Linked DNA regions of Rattus norvegicus. The protein of the gene in region 2 purifies or fractionates together with the protein of the main gene of each other region. This does not show direct contact. Links are inferred from orthologs where the notes say so. Each region holds a gene or a part of one and is shown on either strand. Other genes may lie near its edges. The genes, in order: Nkap and Dhx8.

The links.
Region 1: the proteins of Dhx8 (region 2) and Nkap purify together in Homo sapiens (co-immunoprecipitation; 3 studies listed by BioGRID and IntAct, with this or other methods). This does not show direct contact. The link is inferred for Rattus norvegicus from reciprocal best matches to the Homo sapiens genes DHX8 and NKAP.

Annotation. Positions count from the first base shown.
Region 1 is NC_086039.1:121,237,189-121,241,700, forward strand, and holds the start of Nkap (NF-kappa-B-activating protein), read left to right. Parts: upstream 1-1,525; 5' UTR 1,526-1,622; coding exon 1,623-2,002; intron 2,003-4,512. UniProt on the Homo sapiens protein: Acts as a transcriptional repressor. Plays a role as a transcriptional corepressor of the Notch-mediated signaling required for T-cell development. Also involved in the TNF and IL-1 induced NF-kappa-B activation.
Region 2 is NC_086028.1:87,201,778-87,205,012, reverse strand, and holds the end of Dhx8 (ATP-dependent RNA helicase DHX8), read right to left. Parts: intron 2,980-3,235; coding exon 2,800-2,979; intron 1,311-2,799; coding exon 1,091-1,310; 3' UTR 587-1,090; downstream 1-586.

The DNA.
Region 1 (4,512 bases), on a different chromosome or scaffold from region 2:
TGAAAGGGGGAAATCTCAAGAGGCTCTAACCCTAGACAAAGAACTACAGGCAAATAGGTAATGCTGAGAGCCAGGAGAAATAATAGTCTTCCCTCAGTTGATCATCCAATACCAAATGGTCAGTCCTGAAATCATAAACAGACAGGATATATATATGGATTTACTGCTGTACCTGGAACTGTTTCCAAGTTGGAGATATACACATACATATATACATACATACACACACACACAGAGAGAGAGAGAGAGAGAGAGAGAGAGAGAGAGAGAGCAAGCAGGTTATTGTAACAATGCTCCAGACCTTAGTAGGTTCCCAGACCTTAGCACAACTGACTCCATAATGGAAGCATCATTTGGGCTATAAAACTCACTATGTAGATAGTATCACCTGTCAAAACCAAAGACATAATCCATTTATAGTTCTGGGAAAGTCTCTAAAGGTGCTACTAATCTTGCCTTTGACTTCTGCAGTTTCACTTTTGGCTAACTGTTCTTGTTCATTGAAGTATATCAACCCAGGACATGTGTTTGTGTGTGTTTCTGTGCTGAAAAGTTCATCCTGAGAAAGGCTGGGGCCAAGCTGGGACCACAAACACCCAGGGTAGTTGCTGGCCAGCTAATGAAGACTTTCTACTGGCTGAAACCCATGTCCAAGCAGTCTTCTCTGGTGAAAACTTTACAACAGCTATAGTTACAGATACATGTAACAACAACTAAAGAAAAAGAGGCAATGAATTTAAAAGAGCAAGAAGAGGCCCATGTGAACGGTTGGAGGTAGAAAAGGGAAAGGGAAATGACATAATTGTATTTCAATTTCAGAAAAAAACTAAAAACCAAAATTAATATTTGAATGCTTTCACCTAAAAATAATACTTGATACATACAACTATGAATCGTCTACCTTATATTTTGCTGGGCTAGTGTATGATGGACTAGTTTAAGGGGCTTGATAACTTTGTTTTGTGGGACATTTGTGGGTGGCTGGAAACTAAGTATTAAGATTTTCTCTGGGTCGCTAAACTAATCGGAGTAAAACACACTGAAGTTATAAGAATGTATGCCTTCTAAGTGAACTGGACAACAATGATCTTAGATTAAAGTTTAACCCTAATCGTGATAAACCCTCTTTTGTTTGCTTAGGATTTAAAAAAAAGTGGGGGTGGGAGTTATAATACACACACAGATTCATACGCGCACACCATACAGGCAAATATAGTCCCACACGAAATACGGGGAAAATTGGCGGTGTTGCTTATATGGCTACTCAATGAACTACGTGTTGCATTCATCATAATGTTCTTTTAGGTATCTGGTGCAGTTTAGATTTCAGAAACCTCACTAGGAACTGGATGAGAGCGTGTCCCCAGTTTCCCGGCCGGCTTCTATATGGAGATACACACATCCCTTCCTGTTGGCTGCAAGGACTCCGAGTCCAGGGGAAGGGATTTACTGCTGTACCCGGAACTGTTTCCAAGTTGGTTTTTTTGTTTGTTTGTTTGTTTGCTTGCGTTTTTTCTAGTTCGGTCGCTGCAAGCTCTAAGACCCTAGGTATCCGAGAACCTTTAGGGGACAAGGAGAGCGCCTCCTTGTCCCGCCCCTTAGCCGGTTCAGCTCACACCACCATGGCTCCTGTGTCGGGCTCGCGTAGCCCTGTACGGGAGGCCTCCGGGGGAAAGCGTCGCAGTTCGTCGAGGAGCCCCAAATCCATCAAATCTTCCCGCTCCCCGCGATGTCGCCGGTCTCGCTCGCGCTCTTGTTCTCGGTTCGGTGACCGGAATGGCCTCAGCCATTCGCTGAGTGGCTTCAGCCAAAGCTCTCGAAACCAATCTTATCGCTCCCGCTCTCGATCGCGTTCTCGAGAACGGCCTTCTGCACAGCGGAGTGCCCCGTTCGCGTCTTCATCCTCGTCCGCCTATTATGGCGGCTACTCGCGTCCCTACGGGGGTGACAAGCCATGGCCTAGCCTGCTGGACAAGGAAAGGGAGGAGAGTCTGCGGCAGAAGTGAGTGAGATCGCCGCACCCTCTCTTGGACGATTCCGCCTGCCTTTGACTCCAGCTTGTCGTTCATTGTTTCTGTTTTGTTTTGTTTTTCCGCTTCTCGCCCGCCTAGCACCTTTTTCATCTCTTTTTCAATCCACCCCATGACATTTTTATTTATCCTTCCTAACTTACATTTTCATTCATCCTTAGACTTCTTCATAAAGGGATCTGGTTTCCCACTACCTATTTCCCCCTCTTGGCTTGCTGGCTGGTATCACAAAGAAGCTCGGCGCTATTGTATTTCTTGATTGTGCCATTATCCGTACACCTGTCTTTATTCCTCACTAAACTGTAATAGAGGTCTGTGATTTTATTGATCAGAGAATTAGTAGTACCTGCCTTTTGGTAGGCATGCAGCTGTTTCTTGTTGCATGAAGAATCAGAAAAAATTTGAGATAAGAGGATATTTCAGTGGAAAAGTTTTGCAGGGAATTGGGAAGTATTGTAATTAAGTGTATGTATTGGCTCTGAGGAAAAGGGATAATTAGATGAGGCTATGTTGGGAAAAGTCTTGTAAGTCTCAGCCGTGTTGACCATGAAAACCGATGTGGGAAAGAGATTGGATCTCCTCTAATGGGAGTTCTTAGTTTAAAAAGACACAGACCTTTAGTGGCAACAGCTATGAGTCTCTTGAGGGAAGTCAGAACAGTGTCATTCTCATTGATGTAACAAATTTAAGGCCACCTTGGTCTACATGAGACCGAGTCTCAAGAAATATTTAAATTCAAACGCTGGGCATGATGGCTCACTAAAGCCGATGCAGGATTGTCATAATTAATTTGAGGCCAGTCCATACTACAGAATAAATTAAAGGTAGGCCTGAGGCAGAGTGATACCCTGAGAGGCTTATATTGCTGCATTAGTCATAGTATCTAATATATATGACGTTTATTATGTTTGTTAAAAAATTATGTCTTAGGCACTGAACTAGTCCCCATACCATGTGTTTAAAAATACTAAAATTTCAAGTATTGCAGGCATTGAAGAACAAAACTTTCCAACAGTTCAGAGATGTTTTTATGTTTTTTCCCATCAGGGAAGCAATAAAGTATAACAACAAAGGGGGCAAGTTTCAGAATCACACTGTCAGAGTGTGAAGGCTTCGTTTGCCAGGAAGCAGGGTAGTCTTGGAGGAGTTAGACCTTTCTGAGCTTCACTTCTTCATCATTAAAATTCCGTAGAAGTGGAGCTGTAACTCAGGGGGAAGAGTGTGCCTAGTAGACCTGAGTCCCTGAGTTGGAGCAGCAACTCGGGTTGGGGAGAGGGAAATTTGTAACAAGGCTTTTAAGGTGTAATAATGTCCGTAAGTGCGTGGAAACAAACAAACAGTCCTGAATTCTTAGAGACCTATGGTATGGTACCCATGGAGTATGTCAGTCGAAAAGCAAATGCTGAACCAGGATCATGTCTGTAATCCCAACACCGAAGAGAGGGTCAGAACCACCAGGAGCTGAAGGCTAGCTAGACCCTGCTCCATGAGAAGATCCAGTCTGAGAGGTGTAAGGGGTTTACTGAAATGTTAAATGATTGGATTAAATTTGCATTCGTACTTTTGGATGATATGAAGTTCATTGTGCCTGTTAAACATTGTCTTAGACACAGCAGTAGGCTTTATACCTTGTATTTTAAAATAAGAAATTGTAACATATTATAGGAGCAACAGACATGAGACTTCTGTGTTTGTTATGGCTGGGCAGCCATTCTTCCCCAGCAGTTACGAACAGTTTCATCCCATCTCTAAATTGTCTGATTGGCAAAATACAAAATTCTCCCAAGTCTCTCTCTATATAGTTATCAATGCCTTTTCTCATGATCAAAGATGTTAAAACAAAAGAAAAGAAAAGCCAATTTTATCTTTTGTAGTGATTTTTAAATGTGAGTCACAAGCTGCCAAACTTTAAGGAATTCAGGCTTATTTTTTTCTTCAAAGAATTATTTTATGTATTTTTTGGGTCAAGGGAGTTGAGACAAGGTCACTATAGCTTTGGCTGTACTGGAACTCATTAGGTTGATAAAGCTGGCTTCAAACACAAAGGTATCTGCCTGCCTTTGCCTGCCAAGTACTAGGACTAAAGGCATCCACCATGGCATTCAGTATCATTTTTATTATTATTTTTAATTATATGTATGTATGTGTGTCTGTGTATGGATATGGATATGTCAGTATAGATGCCTTGGGAGGCCAGAAGGATCACATCTCCTGGACCTGGAATTATAGGCAGCTGAGAGCTAACCAATTGGGGTTGGGGATTTAGCTCAGTGGTAGAGCGCTTGCCTAGCAAGCGCAAGGCCCTGGGTTCGGTCCCCAACTCCGAAAAAAAGAAAAGGAAAAAAAAAAAGAGAGAGAGAGCTAACCAACTTGGATGTTAGGAACCAAATTCCAGTCCTCTGCAAAAGCTGAGGACCCCTGGGCCATCTTTCCAGCCCATAGTTTGTATTTTAAGTTTATGAGTTGGAGTATATAAAATGAA
Region 2 (3,235 bases):
AGTTACTAACGTGAGGCTGAAGGAGAGATCCCATGGCCCAGGATGAGCCCAAGATCCCCAGGGCACCCAGCATCTCCAGTCTGGCTTGGCAGGATGATGGGTCTCTCATCAGCACAGAACCTCCATAGTTCTCAGAAGGGGGCACTAGGAAAACCACTAGCAGGAGTGAAGGTATGGGTCCCTCCCCAGACCACAAGTCACCTCGAAGCAGCTGAGAGCAGTGCTTGCTTTCTGCTGACAGTGAGGTAACACTGTCATAGTGGTGTTCTTTGCTGTTTTAAAGGAATTAGGACACACTGCTCAACGACAGTGGCAGGAAGGAGACAAAGGATCAAGGTGCCACTAGGTGCCAGACTGAAGCACTCTGGCGCAGATTTGGTTAATCCGGAGCTGTCAAGGCTGAGCTAGCCCAGCAGTGTTGAAAGACAGACTGGAGGTTTGGCCCATGCATCATGTCTGGAGACATGAGAGAGGCCTAGGCTATGGGATCAGGAGGCTCTGCCACGTGCACCACACTGAACTCAGGCCGAGAGCCTAACCTTGCAGCTGCCCCTGCCCAACGAGACAAAGTCATAGTAAACCACTGTTTCCTTAAAAAAATAAATATTTCTAGGAGGTAGAAACCCAAGTACAGAGGCCAGGGAGTGGTAGGGAGTGGGGCCAACATGGTACATGAGAGTCATGGTTCACTCCTTCAGCATGAGCTGGGGTATGGGGCCCTGGCTGGGCCCGCCAGGCATCACAGTCACGCGTGCCCCTCGCCCATCCCAGGATACACAACTTATCTAATTGTTCTTTTGTGTGTGTGTGATTTTTTTTTCAAGACAGGGTTTCTCTTGGTAGCCCTGGCTATCCTGGAGCTTGCTCTGTAGACCAGGTTGGCCTCAAACTCAAGAGATCTTCCTGCCTCTGTGTCCCAAGTGCTGGGATTAAAGGCTCTGGCCGAAGTCCTGCTTAGATGTTTCTGTCTTACACTATGGAGAGAGTCAGGCTTGGAAAATGCTCAGTTTAAGATTAAGTCACCACAGGACTAGCTTATTATCAGCCAGAGGAAGCCACAATGCAGGAGAGGCGAGTGGTCAGCTGTCTTTCAGCGCCGCCGGAAAGCACGGGAGATTCTCCAGGCGTTCGGTTCCTCATACCGATTGTACAGAGGCTCCAGGCGCTGCTGCTTCTTCTGCTTGCTTAGCTTGGTTGGGTCAGAGACTTTGAAGAAAGCCGGAGCAAACTCCACAAGCCACCGGGGGTCGATGGTGGTGACCTCACGCATGTACTCCTTTGTGGTCAGCACCAGTTCATGGTATACCACCCTGTGGGAGACAGACAGGACTCAAGCCTTAGAGTAGACCCCACTCCACAGCCAGTTCAGTCCACAGGGGACCACGGCTGAGCTGCATTTTTTTTTTTTTTTTTTTTGGTTCTTTTTTTTGGAGCTGGGGACTGAACCCAGGGCCTTGCGCTTCCTAGGTAAGCGCTCTACCACTGAGCTAAATCCCCAGCCCCTGAGCTGGCATTTTATTCTATCACTTCTCCTGCCTGATCCATTAGGAAACTGTCAAAGCCACACTCCAATACTGCAAGCCCACACCCTTCCAATACAAGACGGCTCCCAGAGAAACAGCTCTAGTCCTGTCTCTGGCATGAACTAATTGAGTGACAGTGAAAACAGCCCTGTCCCATCTCTAGATTTCAGTTTCCTGCTCTGTGAAATAAACCAGTGGTTTCTCAGATAGTTTCCATAGAATTCTAAGGCTCTTGAGAGGGACCACAGAGATATCACCAAGGGATAGTGAGGACCAAGTGGGCAAGGCAGTGCAATAGAGCCAGGTATAGTGGCACACTGTGTGTGTGTGTGTGTGTGTGTGTGTGTGTGTGCGCGCGCGCGTGCGTGCGTGCGTGTGTGCGTGTGTGCGCGCACTCGCGTGCGCACGCGCATGCTCATGTGCATGTGTGTGTTTTCTCTTCTTCCACCTTTCTGTGGGTTCTGGGGATCAAGCTCAGGCCATCTCATTGACCAGCACCTTGTACTTGCTGAGTCATCTCAGGTCTGTTTTTGTTCACTTGAGACCGGGTGTCCATGTGAATAATCCAGACTGGTCTCAAACTCAAGGCAATCCTCCTGCGTTAGCCTCCTGAGAGCTAGGATTACAAGCATGAGCCATAAACTTTTTAAACCAACACTGAGTGTAGAGGCAGAGGCAGGCAGATCTCTGTGAGTTCCAGGCCACCCTGGTCTGCATAGTAAATTCCAGACCAACCAGAGATACACAGTAAGATCCTATCTTAAAACAAACAAACAAAACAAAAACCCACAAAGCCTTTTTAAGACCATCTCATTAGATGATTTCTAAGCCCTTTCCCTGCTTTTACCCCTATAATTTTACTTCTCTTAGAAGGGCTATTTATGGGCTGGAAAGACAACTCAGGAGGTAACATGCTTGCCTTTCGAGAGTAAGCTCAATCCTCAGCACCAACAGAGTGCTGGGCATGGAGATGCGCATTTGTGACCTCAATGCCGAGGAGGCAGAGACACGAGGACACCAACCAATCTAGTCTAATTGGTGCGCTCCAGGCAGTAAGATTATCTTAAAAGGAGAATGCCTCCTGAGGCTGTCCTCTGCCCTCCACAGACATGCACAAAGGTACACCTGTATACACACAAATACATATTAAAGAAAAAGGGGAGCTTGTTAGTGTATCTAATTTGGGGTTTTGCTACTCTAGAAATACAAAGTCAAAAGGAGACATGGAGGATGCTGGAGATTCAGAGGCTCTCTCTGTGTAGAGCCTGCCACCTACCATTCGGGCTGTCTGTTGAAAAGAGCACTGGAAGGATGGATATAGACCACCTGCTGGTCAATCAATGTCCGGTAGCCCTCCTGGGGGTCCTTCTTGGCAGCATTCCGGAAGAAGCCACTGCAGATGGCCTTCTGCACTCGCACTGTGGATTTACCACAGGAGACCACATCCAGCTTGTGCCTATCAGGGCAGTAAGAGCAAAGGAGACATGAGCCTGCTCTGTGCGCAGGGTGCTAGCTGCTCAGCATCCCACCTTAGGGTCCTCACAGTGGTCACCAGGGCCTTCCTCCCAGCTCACTACAGAGGTAGCACTGGATATGACAGGCAGAATGAAGGAACTAGAAGCCAGACACTTGGCTCAGGCAAGAATTCAACTCCAGACTAATGATCCAGAGGCCTGTAAGCAAAGCATTCTTAACTAATTCAGGTATCTTCC